Linked DNA regions of Coturnix japonica. The protein of the gene in region 3 purifies or fractionates together with the protein of the main gene of each other region. This does not show direct contact. Links are inferred from orthologs where the notes say so. Each region holds a gene or a part of one and is shown on either strand. Other genes may lie near its edges. The genes, in order: PHF19, AEBP2 and EED.

The links.
Region 1: the proteins of EED (region 3) and PHF19 purify together in Homo sapiens (affinity purification with mass spectrometry; 8 studies listed by BioGRID and IntAct, counting the BioPlex papers as one, with this or other methods). This does not show direct contact. The link is inferred for Coturnix japonica from reciprocal best matches to the Homo sapiens genes EED and PHF19.
Region 2: the proteins of EED (region 3) and AEBP2 purify together in Homo sapiens (affinity purification with mass spectrometry; 6 studies listed by BioGRID and IntAct, counting the BioPlex papers as one, with this or other methods). This does not show direct contact. The link is inferred for Coturnix japonica from reciprocal best matches to the Homo sapiens genes EED and AEBP2.

The regions. Positions count from the first base shown.
Region 1 is NC_029532.1:6,771,709-6,775,749, reverse strand, and holds the start of PHF19 (PHD finger protein 19), read left to right. Parts: upstream 1-1,241; 5' UTR 1,242-1,353; intron 1,354-1,805; exon of another isoform or gene 1,806-1,924; intron 1,925-1,942; exon of another isoform or gene 1,943-2,637; 5' UTR 2,638-2,646; coding exon 2,647-2,793; intron 2,794-3,163; coding exon 3,164-3,245; intron 3,246-3,342; coding exon 3,343-3,438; intron 3,439-3,525; coding exon 3,526-3,626; intron 3,627-3,699; coding exon 3,700-3,848; intron 3,849-4,041.
Region 2 is NC_029516.1:59,163,161-59,169,372, forward strand, and holds the start of AEBP2 (zinc finger protein AEBP2), read left to right. Parts: upstream 1-2,225; 5' UTR 2,226-2,371; coding exon 2,372-3,000; intron 3,001-6,212. UniProt on the Homo sapiens protein: Acts as an accessory subunit for the core Polycomb repressive complex 2 (PRC2), which mediates histone H3K27 (H3K27me3) trimethylation on chromatin leading to transcriptional repression of the affected target gene.
Region 3 is NC_029516.1:170,393,667-170,399,946, forward strand, and holds the start of EED (polycomb protein EED), read left to right. Parts: upstream 1-2,278; 5' UTR 2,279-2,302; coding exon 2,303-2,425; intron 2,426-6,248; coding exon 6,249-6,280. UniProt on the Homo sapiens protein: Polycomb group (PcG) protein. Component of the PRC2/EED-EZH2 complex, which methylates 'Lys-9' and 'Lys-27' of histone H3, leading to transcriptional repression of the affected target gene.

The DNA.
Region 1 (4,041 bases), on a different chromosome or scaffold from region 3:
GGGTCAGCTCCGTGTTTGGGTTTCCATTCACTATTCCTTGCCTCTGATGATGAGCCAACTCACAACCCCTCCTCCCGATCCTGTTTGCAAAGGAAATAAAGTGTGGGGAAAAGCTCCTGCCAGAGCTCCATTGGAAGGACAGCGTGGGAGCCCTCAGCTCCCTGCTCCATGGGCACAGGCTGTGGGGAGAGGCCTTGGGGGCAGCGTGGGGCTGTGGGACAATGTGCTACAGAGGTTTTGTGCAAACCACTTTGCAGGGGCTGCATCAGAAATGCAATGACAGTGAAGGAACCCCGTGGTCAGCGCTGTTCAAACAAGCCCAGAGGGCACTGCCACTGTGGGGTGCTCCCATCAGTGACATTGTCCCCACTCATTAGCAGTGTTTGGGCATCACCCAGTGCCCGGCTGACCTCTCACATCACCCACACCTCCATGGCCAACGATCCGGGGGCTGCACTCACAACCACAATGGTTGAGGAGGAGCACGGAGAGCACTGCTGTCCCAGCACCACAACCTCATGCCCAGACCGGCTGCCTGTGAGCCAGAGCAGAGCTGCAAAGTGCAGCAGTGTTTGCCCACAAGCAAAGTTCTGGTTCAGGAGTTATTTTAATCCCGTGGTGACTCACGGCTGCACACGGTGACTCACCGCAGGGCTCCGCCGTGGGGCGCCTGGAAGATGTGTCAGGTTCTCTGTGCAGGATGGGGCTGCAGGCAGCAGGAAGGAGCTGTCAGGTTTTGGCTGCCTATGGGCTCTGCTAACATGGCCTGAACACGGGGAGCTGGGAGGAGGCACAGCACGGCTCAGCACGGCATGGCACGGCACAATATGGCACTGCACAGCACAGCGTGGTGCTGCATGGTCTCTGACCCCTACAACGGCAACCCAAGACTATTTGGACCATTCCTTTTGATTATTTGGATCTCTCAGGAAATCCCACGCAGGGTTTTGGGTGCTGTGCTGCACGTGCTGCATTTGCCGTTGTCACGGCTGCCGGAGCGCTCCCATCCAGGAGCTTTGAAATGCAATGAATCACCCCAAAATGCAATGAATCACCCCAAAATGCAATGAATCACCCCAAAATGCAATGAATCACCCTGAAACCCGCACTTTGCCCTCCCCGCTCCCCGCTCTCACTCCCCGCAGAGGCAGTCGGCGGCCCCACGTGTTTCTCGAGCCCGTGCAAAGCCGCCCGCAGCGCAGCGCGATGCCAGCGGTTCTGGGAGGCTCCGCTTTGCAAAAGGGAACGACGACGAAACTCGTCCGAAGAGCTCAGAGCCCCGCTGCTGCCTCCGAGAGGTGACTTCAACACCGATGCTCCTGGAGCGGCTCCACTCGCTCCGCTGCCCCGCAGGTGCGCGACGATCGTCGGTTGCGGGGAAGCGCTGAGCGGGGCGACGGGACGAGCAGGGAGCGCTGAGCTCCGACCCCGAGCAGGCCTGGAAACGGCTCTTTATTTTGGCAGCGCTCTTCGCAAATAACCAACCCCGTTTCCTCCTGCTCGGCGCCGCCCGCAGCGCTTCGTGCACCGACGGATTTGGGTGGTTGGTTGTTGGATTTGTTTTTTTTTTTCTCTTTGGATTCGGAGAAAAACGATCCCACGTTCCCGGAATCCCGGAGAGCGGCAGCACGGGCCGTTCCTTGGCGCGGGGCCGGGCGGCGTCTGGGGCATCCCGGGATGCTCCGTGCCGTTCCGAGCCGTTCCGAGCCGTTCCGTGCCGCTCCGCTCGGAGCTCCGGGAGGCGGCCCCGCTCTAATTGCATAAGCGGGACGTCAATGCCCGCGGGAAGAGCGGGAAGATGGCGCCCCGCGCCCTGCCCCCGCCGCGCTCCGCCGCGCCCCGCTGCTGCCCCGGCGGCCCCCGAGCGGGCGGGCGCTGAGCCGGCCCCGTTGTCGGCAGAGCGGCGGAGGAGCGGCACCGAGCGGTGAGCGCGGCTCGAGCGGCCGGGGGGCGGCGGGGCCGGGCGGGACGGAACGAGGACGGGACGGAGCGGCGCCGCAGCGCCTTTGAATGAACCAATGGCGGAGGGTCTCAGGGCTGCGGGGCCGCTCCCGCCCGGCAGGTGCCGCCGCTCCCGGTGTCGGTGTCGGTGAGGTCCCGGGGCGGCTCTGCGGGCTGCGGGTTCCCGGAGCGCTCCCCGCTGCGCTGCTCGTCACCTCCCGGCGCGGCGGCGCTGAGCTCCGTGCGGTGCCGCGCGGTTCTGCCCGGTGCGGTCGGTTCCGTCCGGTACGGCGCTGTCCCGGAGTTGGGCGGCGGCCCCGCGGGGCTCATCCCGGGCAGCGCGGCGGTACGAGCGGCGCTCGGATCGCTTCGACCCCGCACGGAGCCCCGAGGGGGGAAAGTGCCGTCGGGGCGGTGCTGTCAGCAGCCGGGGCTCCGTCCCGCGCTCGGAGCACGCAGCAGCGGCGAAACGCGGCCGCTCGGTTTCACCCGCTTCTGCCCGCGCCGCTCCCCGCTCCCCCAGCGCTCCCGATGGCAAAAACGCGGAAGGAAACGGACAACTCGACTTGGCGATCGATTTAAAGCTGCCGATGCCGAGAGCGTCCGGGCCAACCCCGTACCTACGGAGCGGGCGCCTCGCTCGGCCCGAGGGCGCATCGCGCTGCTGCTGATGGGCGACCGGCTCCGTCCCCGCAGGTTCTGCTGATGGAGAACGGGACGCTGAGCTCCATCACCCGGGACGTGCACGGAGCCGCCGGGCGCAGGGGCGGCAGCTGCAGGGAGCTGAGCGAGGGGCAGTACGTGCTGTGCCGCTGGACCGATGGGCTGTACTACCTGGGGAAGATCAAAAGGGTAAAGGGGGCATCCGGAAGGGTAAATGGGCATCCAAAAGGGTAAGAAGGAATCCAGATGGCTAAGGTGGGCATCTAGAAGGGTAAAGTTGGCACAAAGAAGGGTAAAGAGGGAATTCAGAAGGGTAAGAGGGCATCCAAAGTGCACCTGGTGCAGGTGCTGTTCCCTGGGTCAGCTCACAGCATGCTGGTCTGTGCCTTGAAGTGACTGTGGTCTTTGGAGTGATGGGGATTGATGTCTTAGCTGGGTATCCACCCTGAAACCCACCTTCCAGCAGCTCTGAGAGATGGGGAAAATGGCACCAGGGAAAGAGGAGAGTGCAGGCAGTAGGAGCAGTCATTCATTGGTTCTTTGTGCTGTGTCCCTGCAGGTGAGCGGCTCCAAGCAGAGCTGCCTGGTGACGTTTGAGGACAACTCCAAGTACTGGGTCCTCTGGAAGGACATCCAGCATGGTGAGTGCCAGCCCGTCGTGCCCTGCTTGCTGCTCCCTGGGAGCCCATGTGCCACGGGCAGCACTGTGGGGCCATCACTGCTTTCTCCATCCTCAAGCCGGCGTCCCTGGGGAGGAACCCAAGTGCAGCATTTGCCTGGGAAAGACATCAGGGCCCAGGAATGAAATCCTCATCTGTGGGAAGTGCGGCCTGGGTGAGTGCAGACACAGGGCTCCGTGTCCTGCTGCGTCCTGCTTGTGTCCAGCCAGCTCGGTGATGCTGACCCTGAGCTGTCCCATAGGTTACCATCAGCAGTGCCATGTCCCAGTGGCAAGTAGCAGTGAGGGCCCGCTGGGGACACCTTGGTTCTGCCGCCGCTGCATCTTTGCCCTGGCTGTGCGGGTGAGTGGGGCTGTGGGGTGCTGCGATATGGGCTGTGGTCTCAGTGCTGACCCTGTCCGGCTGGCTCCCACAGAAGGGGGGTGCCCTGAAGAAGGGAGCTATTGCCAGGACACTTCAAGCCGTCAAGATGGTGCTGTCCTACAACCCCGACCTGCTGGAGTGGGACTCTCCGCACCGCACCAACCAACAGCAGTGCTACTGCTACTGCGGGGGTCCTGGCGAGTAAGCAGTGCCTTGCTGAGGGGCTGTTCTGTCCTGTTTTATGGGTGATTTTCTTCCAAGAGAGAGTCTCTGCTTGCAGGGTCATTCTCTGGGGCTGGTGGCTCTGCTGCCTGCTCTGTCCTGCACTGTCTGCATGCAGCTCCTTGCCAAGGAGGGCTCATTCCTGGCTGGGGCGGCTCACACTGCCCTCCCT
Region 2 (6,212 bases), about 110 Mb from region 3:
TTTCACTCCCTCTCTCCGAATACACAAATTACCCAACGAGCCGGCGTCCCTACTGCTGTACTTAGGGAAGTGAGAAGTGTCTGCATCCCCGTCACCTCTCGGCGGACAGACACTGGGAACCCGGTGAGCGCACATGACCTCAAAGAACCCGAGAGTTCCGAAGAAAGCACAGAGCTACGGGCTTGTGAACACGGTGGGATGAATTCGGACAACACACACTGGGGAGCACGGAGTTCTTTGAGATACGTTTCCTCCTGCCTTTCTTTGCTCGTTCTCAGGTTGTGAAAGGTGCCTTTCACTTCGATCCGTTTAGATCTTTGTTTTCTAGTGATTCGGTCCCTTTCTGATTCTGCCCCTCGCTACAACCGATTTCAGTAAACTCCAGAGGGAAATCAGTTGCAGAAGAGGCAGCACAGCGATTTGCTTCAGATACTGCTGCCTTCTTTCTGAATCGAAAGGTTGTTTTTGTGTGTTTTTTTTTATACCTCGCTCTTCGTGCCTGATGAGATTAGTGACAGTAACACCCACGGGAGTGCCACACCTTTATAGGCTGAGAGGGAAGTACAGAGCACGCCGTTCCTTCGGGGGGGCTGGGGGAAGGGAGGAGGCAGAGGATGTAGAAGCTCAGGGTTCGATGATTGTTTCGATGGAGTCAGTAGAGCAGCGATGCTTACACTATGCGGATGAAGCAGCTTTACAGCCGTCCTCGTGTGTTTTACAGTATTCCTGCCATTTCTAGTGTGTAGCTGAGGCTTGTTTTGAGAAATCTGGAAAGCTATCGAGCATTTTTACTGCTGTTTGCCTCACAGATCGGCTTATGCTCCTCTGCAGGTTAAAGATGTCATTTGTTTGCTCTCAAAGACGAGTGCAACGTCACATCCCTTTGCTCCAAGGCTGCGGTGCTCCCGCAGCACTGTGGCATTCTGTGCTGGCATCGCTCACTGCAGGCTGCTGGTGTTGCTGCGAACAGATACATGCGTGCAGATTGATGGGCGGGCAGCCAGCCCTGCTTGTGCTGATGTAGGGCTCAGGAGCACCCTCCCCAGATTTTAATCCTCTGTGGCTAACTTTTCCTGTTCCTCTGTGGCAACGCTAGATGAGCCTGCTATGACTTGAGGAGGTGGTAGTCTTCCTGTTGCACAGAGAACAAAGTCTTTCTGGACTGAGCTGTGGTTTAGTTTTGTCATCCGCTCATAAGCCAAACCATCCCCAGTTCACGATTTTTTTCTTATTAAATTTGGCAAGTTCAGTAAAAAATTTCATCTCCATGTCTGGGAGGTGGAACTACATGATCCTTGAGGTCCCTTCCAACCCGGGTCATTCTGTGATTCTATGAGGTGGGTACTTCCCTGTTCTATGGAAAATCCCCATCCCACACGGATTGCTGATCATTTCCATGTGACAGTTCACTGAAGGTATTCTCCATGTCCGTACAGACAAGGCAAAATAAAGCACGATCTGCCTCGAGTAAACTTCATCCCCTTTTCTTCCAATATTAAAATGACTTTAATTGTCATTATTAATTTAATAGTTTTTTCTGAAGTCTCGTATGTGATTGGTGGTCGTTCTGCTCATCTTTCTCTCTTCCCCATCTATTCTTCTTCAGATGGCAACGTTCCCAACTCAGCCAATTTAGCAGCCCTCATTCCTCCAAACCCTGGCCTGAGTTTATGAGGAAAATATTAACCAACTGCCTCGGTTTTAGCACATTTAACTCAGGTTTTACTTCCACTTCGGGCAGTGACGTGCGTTTTGCATTCAGCCTTGGCCACGCCACAGCCTGGAAGCTTCTTACAGCCAACGGAGGTGTGAGGCCACACTTCAGACGCTCTCCTGATGCCAGTGCCACTGAAAACCTCCTTCTGTCCCATTGTGTCCCAGCCCAGCTCTCTCTTTTAGCGATTCACACAGGGCACACTCACACTCTGACCCACTCCTTGTGGAGGGGCCTCTCTCCCTTCCCCTGAGGAGACACGCCGTTCCTCCCATCTTGGCTCAGCGTTTCTCTTCACCCCTGATCCCGCTGCCGCCCCGTGACCGCGAGTGTCGCCTCAGAGGCGGTTCGGCGTTAACGGCCGCCTCGCACCCCCCGATCCCCGGTTCCCGGTTCCTCGTCCCGCGCTCCGCCTCGCGGAAGCTTTTTGTCCCCGGGCTCGTTCCGTAGCGCGTGCGGCGGTGGCGGTTCGTGCCCCTCCTCTTTGCGGCTCGCGCCGCCGCGCGATTGTGCGGCTGAGCGGGGCGAGGGCGGGGGGAGCGCGGCCGCGCGCACACACGAACCGGGGCACGCGCCTACCGGCCGCGCGCACGGCCCGGCTCGGCTCGATTCGGCCCCGTTCGGCTTCGGCTCGGCTCGCAGCGACTCGCAGGCGCCATGGCGGCCGCTCGCAGCGACATGGCGGAGCCGGAGGGGCTGCTTCCCGGCGAGGCGGCGGCCGCTGCGGCTGAGGAAGAGGAGGAGGCGGCGGCCGTTGCTGCGGTCGTCGCCGGGGTCGGCTCCTCGTCGTCGCCTCCGTCCTCGGCGGCGGAGACGGAGTCGCTGCTGCTGCTGAACGGCGAGGCGGAGAGCATGTCGGAGCCCAGCCCGGAGAGCGCCAGCCAGGCCGGGGACGGGGAGGACGAAGACGAGGAGGAGGAGGAGGAAGAGGAGGAGGAGGGCGGCGAGGAGGAGGAGAGCAGCCTGGTGGGCAGCAGCAGCACGAGCAGCGGCTGCTGCAGCGACGAGACCCGCTCGCTCAGCCCCGGCGGCAGCAGCGAGGCCGACGCCAAGGAGGAGCCCAAGGGCCCGCGGGGCGGCCAGGAGGGCGGGCTGGGCCGCGGCGGCGGCGGCGGCGGGAGCAGCTCCAGCAGCGTGTCCAGCGGCGGCGACGAGGGCTACGGCACCGGCGGCGGCGGCGGCAGCAGCGGCAGCAGCAGCTGCAGCGCCACGTCGGGGGGGCGGCGGGGCAGCCTGGAGATGTCCTCGGACGGGGAACCGCTGAGCCGCATGGACTCAGAGGACAGGTCAGTGCCCGGTGCGGGAGGCCCGCGGGCGCCATGTCCTGGGGCCTCGCCCCGCCCGAGGGCCGCGGGGCTGTCAGGCCGGCGGATGGGGGGCTGCGTGCTCCGGGCGGGGGCGGTCGGCCGCGCCGCGCCCTGGGGCCGCTCCGGTTCCGGAGGGATGCCGCTGCGATACCGTAGTCGTACCGCGCCTGCTGTGCCGTGGTCGCTCCGTACCTGCGGGTGTACGTGCTGCGGGCGGCGAGCTGAGGAAACCGCCGAACACAAGGGAAAAATCCCACCTTGCTGAAAGGAGCGAGGGAACGGCCCTTCGCCCGGGCTGAGCTGTGTTGTGGATGAAGCCGAGCCCAGCCGTGTGAGACTTAGTCATTTTTGGATGAATGGTTTAATGCCAAATGTGGATGATTTCTGTAGTTGCCGGCTTGAGGCTCGAGGGACGGCACAGCCCAGTTCCCAGGTCGCGTTTAGCACAGAGGTTGGGCACTTCTAGGAGCACGGCTTGCCTAGTGGTTTTCTTGGGGGTATGTAATACAGCCTAATGGAAAATAGGATGTGGGGGGAAAAAAGAGTGGAATTTGTCGGTTCTTTTACTGCTAAGTGCTTCAGAATAGTTTTAGAAACTTCTTTTATTCTTTGCCTTTTTAGGTTTGGCTTTAAGAAAGCCTTGGGCTTTGCGGTAGTTGGTACAAAAATAATAATTGTTCCTTTTTTGAAGATAGTTTTGCTATTGAGCGTAAAGATGATCAGTTTTGGTCCAGGTTACATGCTTTGTTGATGTGTTAGGTTAAATTTGAGTAGATGGGGAAACGCCCGTGTTGCAGGAGCGTGGCATTTCTAGGTCCAGCCTCACGTGTTAAATGAAACCCTCGTGAGTCAGTTCCCCAAACCATGTGCTGGGTCTGAAAGTCTTAGGAAAAATTAAAAACGAATTTTAAATCCATGCTTTTCATTTCCTCCTGACTTCTGAGTCTTGAGGACTTGGGGGATTTTTTTCGTTCCTTCAGACTTGCTGTGAAATAAGAAGGTGGCGAGTTTTTCTTTCTTTTTCTTTCTTTCTCTCTGTTTTCACGTGGATTTTTACATGAAATCACATAAGTGTGGGAGTAGATTTCTGGGGAAACAACAGGTATGTGGTGGAGGTTTAGGGTCGTCACTTCTTGTTTTCTACCAAATGAAACTCTGCACTGCAGCTTGATCTCTTGTGAGTCTGTCTCAATTTGTAGGTTAAGGAAATAACAGGAATCAGTTACAGGGGTTTTCTGACAGTGCAGCCCCGTTACGTCTTGCTCACACACTTCAGAGCTGCTGTACTAGTTTCTTTCTCTGTCATTGTTTGCAGGCTCCTCTTGTTATAGTGGCACAAATCAAATCTGTGTGTGCTCTTCGTTGCTCCTTTCCAGTACCTTTGGAGCAGAGTCAGTTGCAGGAGCCTTTTGTGTTCAGTAGTTTTAAATTAGGACTGTGTTTTTGGTTTTTATCTTGCAAAGGTTTTGTCTTCAGTGGCCACGCTGAAAACGTAGAGATACTGAGAAGCAATTTTGTATGGTAATTTCATAGCCTGCTGCTTGAGTTGAGTAGGAAAAGAACCACGCCACGCAAAGTGCCATTTGTTATTTCTGGTGATAGAAAAGCTCATTTTGATGACATTCCTTGCTGCCTTGGGGTAGACAGCAAAAACAGTGATGCTACACGTAGTCCAACAGGTCCCTTGGCCTATCAGTGGAAATTATTGCTGCCCCTTAGAAGCCAGCTGGAACATGATGTGCGTCCTTAGGGTGATCAGCTGGGCAGGCAGTTGCCAGTGGTAGGGGAGGCATGGAAAAGCCTCAAGAGTGTTCACAATGGGATGGTAGAGTACCTGGGAGAACCTGGGAGCAGGTCAGATTTACACGATGTAACTATGACAGATTGATATCTGCTCAGCGATGTTCTCTGTAAAACAGTATCTTGTACAGCACTCTGATGTCTACTTTCTGCCTGTGTCCTGAATGGAGACTCCAGTTTTGTCACCGAAGACCTAAGGAAGTTGACATCGACTTGTCTTGTGGACTGTTGTGTGGTAAAATGACCTCTGAGTGAAGAAATGATCTGCTGTGCTTCAGTTCTTATTCTTTGGTTAAACAAGAGGAAGGTGTTAAAAAGGTGAACTCCGTAACGATTCTCCTGTTGTAGGCAGGTTTGCTAACATTCAGATTATGCCCTGAGGCTTGGGATTTTTTTCTTGTTTCCTCTTTAGCAAATTTGAATAAATAAGAGGGTGTGGTGAAGGCCTGGAATTCCTTAAGTGATCGAATTCCTCTTTTGCTACGATCTTTATCATCGTTGTCTGATTTCAATGTATTGTCTGTCTCGTTTTGGTTTAGCGTTGCGAACTGCGATGTAAACTGCAGATGTGACATTTGAGCATGAGAATCTTGCATGCAATCAAGACATGACTACTGTTCAGCTACTTCTAATACTAATGCTTTGATTCTGTTTTGAGAGATCTGCTAATCAAAGAGAATAAATAATTTGGAGCGTGACAGTAGGAAATCCGTAGGTATTTGAAACAAAACCAAAAATAAATCTGATGTTGAATATTGATGCCTAAAACTTGAGCTGAATTTTGGTCAGCTGTTTTTAAATGCAAGTTCACTTGGTACTGCATTTCCAACAGGTCACATTCCTCTCCACACCTTCCCCCCCACCCCAAAATAAAATGACCCAAGAACAGAAACAAAAAAAGCCAACCCCACACCGGTATTTAGAACAGCCAGGTGGCGTTTTCTGCTCAGTGGTATTAGTAATGAGAGCTCAGTGCAAAGTCTGGAATGACTGCAGATACCCATTGCATTTTATTCCAGGGATTGGAGCTGTGTTCCCACTGCTGTGCTAAAGCTTGCCCACTGCTTTTGAGTGAGCTCATATCTCACTGATAAGAATCTGCATTCAGGTTGAGTGATCCTCCAGATAAAGATTAATACCAGCGTGTGAATGCTGGTAATTTTCCTATGCCTTTCTCTAGCTTCAGATAAGTGTTGAAAGGATGGATGCCTTTCTGCTCAGTTCTCTGGAGCAGGACGCCTTCCTACAATGCTGAGAAACGTTTGATATGTCTTTAAAATCGAGAGTAATGATTTGGTTAATTACAGAAACAGCTGAGTTCATCACTGGGCTGCAAAACTAGGCCTACATGTATGCGTGGATTTGAGTATAAATCAGCTGATACGAATGCA
Region 3 (6,280 bases):
TTCAACAAATCCAAGTGCAATGTCTGCACCTGGGTCATGGCAACCTCCACTATCAGCATAAACTGGGAGATGTAGGGACAGAGCACAGCCATGCCAATAAGCCCTTGGGGGTTCTGATGGATGGCAAGCTGGACATGAGCTAGCAATCTACCCTTACAGCCCAGAAAGCCAACTGTATCCTGGGCTGCATCAAAAGAAATGGGGCCAGTAGGATAAGGGAGATGATCCTGACCCTCTGCTCTGTGCCGGTGAGACCTCACCTGGAGTACTGTGTCCAGATGTGGAATCCTCAGTACAGGAGAGTCATGGAGCTGTTGTAGCGCATCCAGAGGAGGGGCACAAAAATGATCCAAGGGATAGAACACCTCTCCTATGAGGACAGGCTGAGAGAGCTGGGCAGTTCAGCCTGGAGAAAGAAGGCTCCAGGGAGATCTGAGAGTGGGCTTTCAGTATCTAAAGGGGGGCTTTTCTTGTCTTATGAACTTCATCAGAGCACAAACTGAAGCCAACCCTCTGAGCTTTCAAGCCAGTATTTAACCACAAACCAATTCTTTAAATAGAAGCTGGATGAAGTGTACTATGACTGTTGGAAACTCATCTTCCCTGGTGTACTGGCCCTTCATATCTTCTGAAATTGGAAAGGCAAGTGGTTTGGACTAAGAACTAGACAGAGGGAGCATGAGGTCTGTCATGTTGAGAAAGAAGTCCTCCAGAAAATCAAACAAGGGAAGGCAAAGACCAGTTTGGCCCAGCAAGTTGATGATGGAGACTGAAGGGTTTTGCTGACTGATTCTGGTGTGGGTGGGAAATCTTCCTGTGTGCAGGCCAAGAAGCACAGCCTGACTGGGGCCCTCACTTTCCTTGTGTTTGGGATGAGCTAGTGAAACGTGGAGGAGCTGAATGTGTAGCTGGCCATCTGGAGGATGTCAGGTGACAGCTGCAAAATGAAGGGGAGCTGTCTTCTCTCCATTAGCTCAAGGTCATCCGTGATGAGAAGTTAAGAACACTCACTGCTGAAAACTCCGTGCCCGCCCTTCATTTCTAAATCACAGTCGTGATTTAGTCTTAATTAAGATGCCAATCTAAAAATATCCCGTCATATTTTAAGAACAAGTCAGTTCATTCTCCGTGTATGTCCTCACAAAGGTGTAAAACGCTTTTATCACAGCCTTGATCTTAGTGCATGAATTTGGGCAGCTGCAAGTTCCCAGAGCTTTTATTAATTGTGATCTACAGCCTTTTGGTCTGTATTATACACTGCACCAGTGGAGCCTACAGGAGGGACTATTGCTAAAAACACTACAGTACACACACCAGCTTAAGCACCTCTCCTCCCCCTTATCTCTGAAGTTCATGCCAGATTAAATTGTAGATACAAAGGCAAGGTTCACTTCTGTCACTGCCCTCCAAGAAATCACTTTGCAAGGCTGGAATGCCTCCTCCAGGGAGGAAAGCTTTGGTTTTTCTTCTCTGAGAGAAGCAGATAAGGCACTGTGCCTGCGGGCAGATTACTTCCCCTATTTATCAGATATATATATATACATACATACATATATATATATATATGTTTATATATAGGTTTTGTTTTTGTTTTTATTTTTTTGTTTATTTTTTGGTTTATTTTTGTTTGTTTTTTGTTTGTTTTTCCACTGTTCGTTATTATTATGACTCTGGGACATGTGATTTTAGGAAAATAAATAAAGAAATAAATCATCATCTGGCAACTGCAGTATTTAATTTACAATCTGCAAGTGGTAGGAACTTGCCATGGGGCATTGAAACAGGCCATTTTTTCTTCTCTCCCAACAGCATTTTTTAGATGAAAGTACTTTTTTTTCCCCCTCATTCCAGCCCTGCCTGGGTGACAGGGCAGGGAACAGACACCTCATTTCTCTATAGAGCATTTTGGAGAGCAAAAGAACCAAAAACGACTTTGTGGATGAGGAACTTTGTGCTCCTCACAGGACACAGGAGCTGTGGTAACCAGAACCTCGGGCTACTTTATATGCCACGAACGTGCTCGAAAGTGCTGGTCCAGGCCACAGATAACGGTATAAAGTGTCATTATGCTTTATTATGTTCATACATTCGATTATAAATAATAATAATAATAAGAGTAATTAATAGTTGAGTTAATAGATGGGCGACACCGCCCGCGCGACGCGGGAAGGCGGATTTTTCAGCAGTGTGGCAGCTGAGGGGCAGCCAAGCGCGGTGCTGCTTTACGGCAAAGCATTGCGACGCCCCCCCTGCCGCGCTTTACGGCTGCGTGGCGGTGGGCGGTGGGCGGTGGGCGGGGAAGATGTCTGAGCGGGGAGAAACCCCGGCGGCGGCGGCTGCATCGACGGGAGAGATGCCGGCTAAGAAGCAAAAGCTGAGCAGCGATGAGAACAGCAACCCCGGGGATCTGTCTGGAGATGAGAACGTGAGGCTGAGTTGGGGTGTAAGCGGGAAGGTGGCGGTGGCGAGGCGGGAGCATGAGGCAGAGGGGCCGCGCTTTACCCCGCGTGCGTGAGGGAGAATTGGAGGCCCTGAGGTGTGAGCGGTTTTCAATGTCACTTTTTAAGTGGTTTTTATTGCGATGTAGCGAGCAAAAATCTGTATTTTAGGTATATCTGTCGTTTTTCATCGCTGCCTCGGTGTGGGGTGTTCATTAACACGTTGCTCGGTGTTAATTTGTGCACACAGAGTTTTGGGGAAATGAAGGAATAGGGGGGAATCACAACGTTGTAGGGGTTGGAAGGATCCTTTGGAAACCATCCAGTCCGACCCCTCTGCTAAAGCAGGTTCCATGCACTTGTGTGCTCATAAGTTGCTGTCAGCAGGAATTGGCTGTAAGGGATGAAGGCTGTTACCTCTCAACTGCACTAAATCAGAGTATTTAAACCAAAGGTCGTGAGATTGATTCCAAGTAACTTAACAGCTGAAAAGATCAACTGATTTGGGTCTGTACTGAGTCTGGTCTTGTTCAACATCTTCATCAGCGACCTTGATGAGGGGATAGTGACCACCCTCAGCAAGTTTGCTGATGACACGAAGTTGGGAGGATTGGCTGACACGCCTGAAGGCTGTGCTGCCATTCAGCGAGACCTGGACAGGCTGGAGAGCTGGGCAGTAAGAAACCGGATGAGGTTTAACAAAAGTAAGTGTAGAGTCTAGCACTTGGGTAGAAATAATTGCATGCACCAGTACAGGCTGGGGGAAGACCTGCTGGAGAGGAGCTCTGCTGAGAGGGACCTGGGCGTCCTGGTGGACGACAGATTGAGCATGAGCCAACAGTGTGCCCTTGTAGCCAAAAAAGCCAATGGCATACTGGGGTGTATTAAAAAGAGCGTGTCCAGCAGGTCGAAGGAGGTGATCCTCTCCCTCTACTCTGCCCTGGTGAGGCCTCATCTGGAATATTATGTCCAGTTCTGGGCTCCCCAGTACAAAAAAGACAGGGAACTCTTGGAAAGAGTCCAGCGGAGGGCCACTAAGATGGTGAAGGGCCTGGAGCATCTCCCCTATGAGGAGAGACATAGGGAACTGGGTCTGTTTAGCCTTGAGAAACAAAGGCTGAGAGGGGATTTGATCCAGGTTTATAAATACCTGAGGTGTGGGAGCCATAGTGGTGAGTCTGGTCTCTTTTCAGCAGTGCGTGGGGATAGGACTAGGGGTAATGGTATGAAAGTACAGCATAGGAAGTTCCGCATGAATGTGCGCAAGAACTTCTTTACAGTGAGGGTGACGGAGCACTGGAACAGGCTGCCCAGGGAGGTGGTGGAGTCTCCTTCTCTGGAGATATTTAAGACGCGCCTGGATGCCTACCTGTGTGACATGGTGTAGGGAGCCTGCTTTGGCAGAGGGGTTGGACTCGATGATCTCTAGAGTTTCCTTCCAACCCCTACAATTCTGTGATTCTGTGTGATCGTCTGAGCAATCTGGTAGTCGGTTTATGCAGTTGGTGAACTGGGGGAGTTAATGACATAGGAGTTCTGCATGGTGTCTTTCTTGGTTAGAGCACTCAGTATGGGCGTTGGAGCACATTGCCCATAACCTGTGCAAGAGCAGCTGCTGTTGAGGTGCTGCGTGCCACTGCTGCTGGGCCTTATTCACTGAACATCACTGGACATGCAGGCCACACGTTTGTCATTCAGCTTCTGCAGAACATTAAGGTCATCGGAAGGGATAGAGAAGGAAGGAGGGGCTGTGTGGTAACTGTGTGTTAGGGATTGTTTCGGTGTTTGGCACAGGCTGCCCAAGGAGGTCATGGAGTCACTGTCCCTCAAGGTTTTCAAAAAGAGTAGATGCGGCACCGAAGGATGTGGTTAGTGGGCATGGTGGTGGTGGGTTGATAGTTGAACTAGATGATCTTAAATGATTTTTCTAACAGAATCACAGAATTATCAAGGTTGGAAAAGACCTAGAAGATCATCTAGTCCAACCATTACCAATACTTCCAGGCTAAATCATATTCCTCAGCACCACATCCAAGCGTTTCTTGAACACTCCCATGGTCGGTGACTCCACCACCTCCCTGGGCAGTGCATTCCAATGCCTGACTACTCTTTCTGAAAAGTAATACTTCCTAATGTCCAGCCTGATTCTCCCCTGACGCAGCTTAAAACCATTCCCTCTAGTTCTATCACCGATTACATGAGAGAAGAGGCCAACCCCCAGCTCACTGCAGCCTCCCTTCAGGAAGTTACAGAGAGCTATAAGGTCTCCCTTGAGCCTCCTCTTCTCCAGGCTGAACAATCCTTAATGATTTGTGAATCTGGGTGTGATGTGGTGACAGAGGCTCTCAGGTTTGCTTTGGTGTCTGTTATAGGCTGTCTCAAAGGTGGAAAGTCTCCTTCTAAAACTTTGTTATGAGCTTTGTTGCTCCTGAAAGGCCTGGATTCTCCTTAAAAGTGGACGTAACAGTGTTGATTTGCAAGAAGTCTCTTTTTTCATGGAATCATAGAGTAGTTAGGTAGGAAGGGCCCTCAAAATCATCTTGTTCCAACCCTTCTGCCATGGTCAGGGTTGCCAACCACTAAATCATGCTCTAGATCAGGCTGCCCAGAGCCCCATCCAGCCTCGCCTTGATCACCTCCAAGGATGGGGCATCCACAGCTTCTCTGGGCAGCAGTGCCAGCACCTCCCCAGGTACTCCACAGGTATCCTGAAGGCATGTTTGTTGGTCATGTTTTAGTTGTAGTTACGTGGTTGTATTTTGTTATACCAATATAATGTGTTCTTGTATTGACTGCATCTGATTAGTCCAGAGGAAGCTTCAGTTCTGTGAAGTATTATGACTCTTGACAGCAAGTGCTCTTAGGAGACCAGTGTTTGGCAGGCTCTGAAACTGCTTAGGGTAAAGGAAAAGAAATAGCTAAATGTAAAGATTGCAAAACCTGGTTATGCTTATTAGGGGGAAGTTAGCTTTGCTAGGATGCGGTATGAAGGAAATGACTGACCTTAGTCCATATTCCTAGCGGAGTTTGTGATGCAGCTTCCTGTTATACTTCATGTCTTGCAATGACAGGCTGTTTGTTGTCTGCCTCTGTCTCCCCAAATTTGGGTCTTGTCATCATGTGGCTGTGAAATGAGTTTGTTGGGAGAAAAAGTTAGTTAATTTAATAAGCTGAACGTTTTCCTGTGGGTTTACTCCCCATAGCCCTCCTAATAGTTTTGTGTCCTTATATTATGGTTCCCAAACCTGTCTTGCACTACTGGAGATGAGAATCAGTTAGAAAGAGTGGGAGGAAGGGGTGAAAGTTCCTCTTCCAGTGGCACTGCTGACTTATTGCAGAACTGTGCTATTCCTGATGCTGCTGAGGGCCTACAGAGGACTTCAAGAGAGGTTAGATTCCTGACATGGGTAAATATGTTTTTAAACAAACATTGTCTTGATTCATTAGTTCAGAAGTATTCATTCCGTGTATGTCAAAGATACTTTCTAGGAAGGCAATTACTTTGTATTCAGATATTTCTTAAGAAGAGCTTCCTGTATTCCAAAGAAGTTTCACTGTATCACAGTTCACATATGACCCTTTTGGGTTAGTCCTTGTGTGACTCATGTTCTGTTTCCAGGGAGAAATGCTATTATGTTAGTAACAGGTTTAAGTATGTGAAGCTAAATAAAAATCAAGTCCTGGGGGATCTTTTGTTCTTGTGGAGGAGGAAGAGGAAAGTGAAAGGGCCAAGTGCTGCAGTTAGCTGATGATTTTATCTATCAGTTAATTACATCTTCATTTCAATCTGTGTAATTGGAATGTTTTCAGGATGATGCTGTTAGTATTGAAAGTGGAACTAA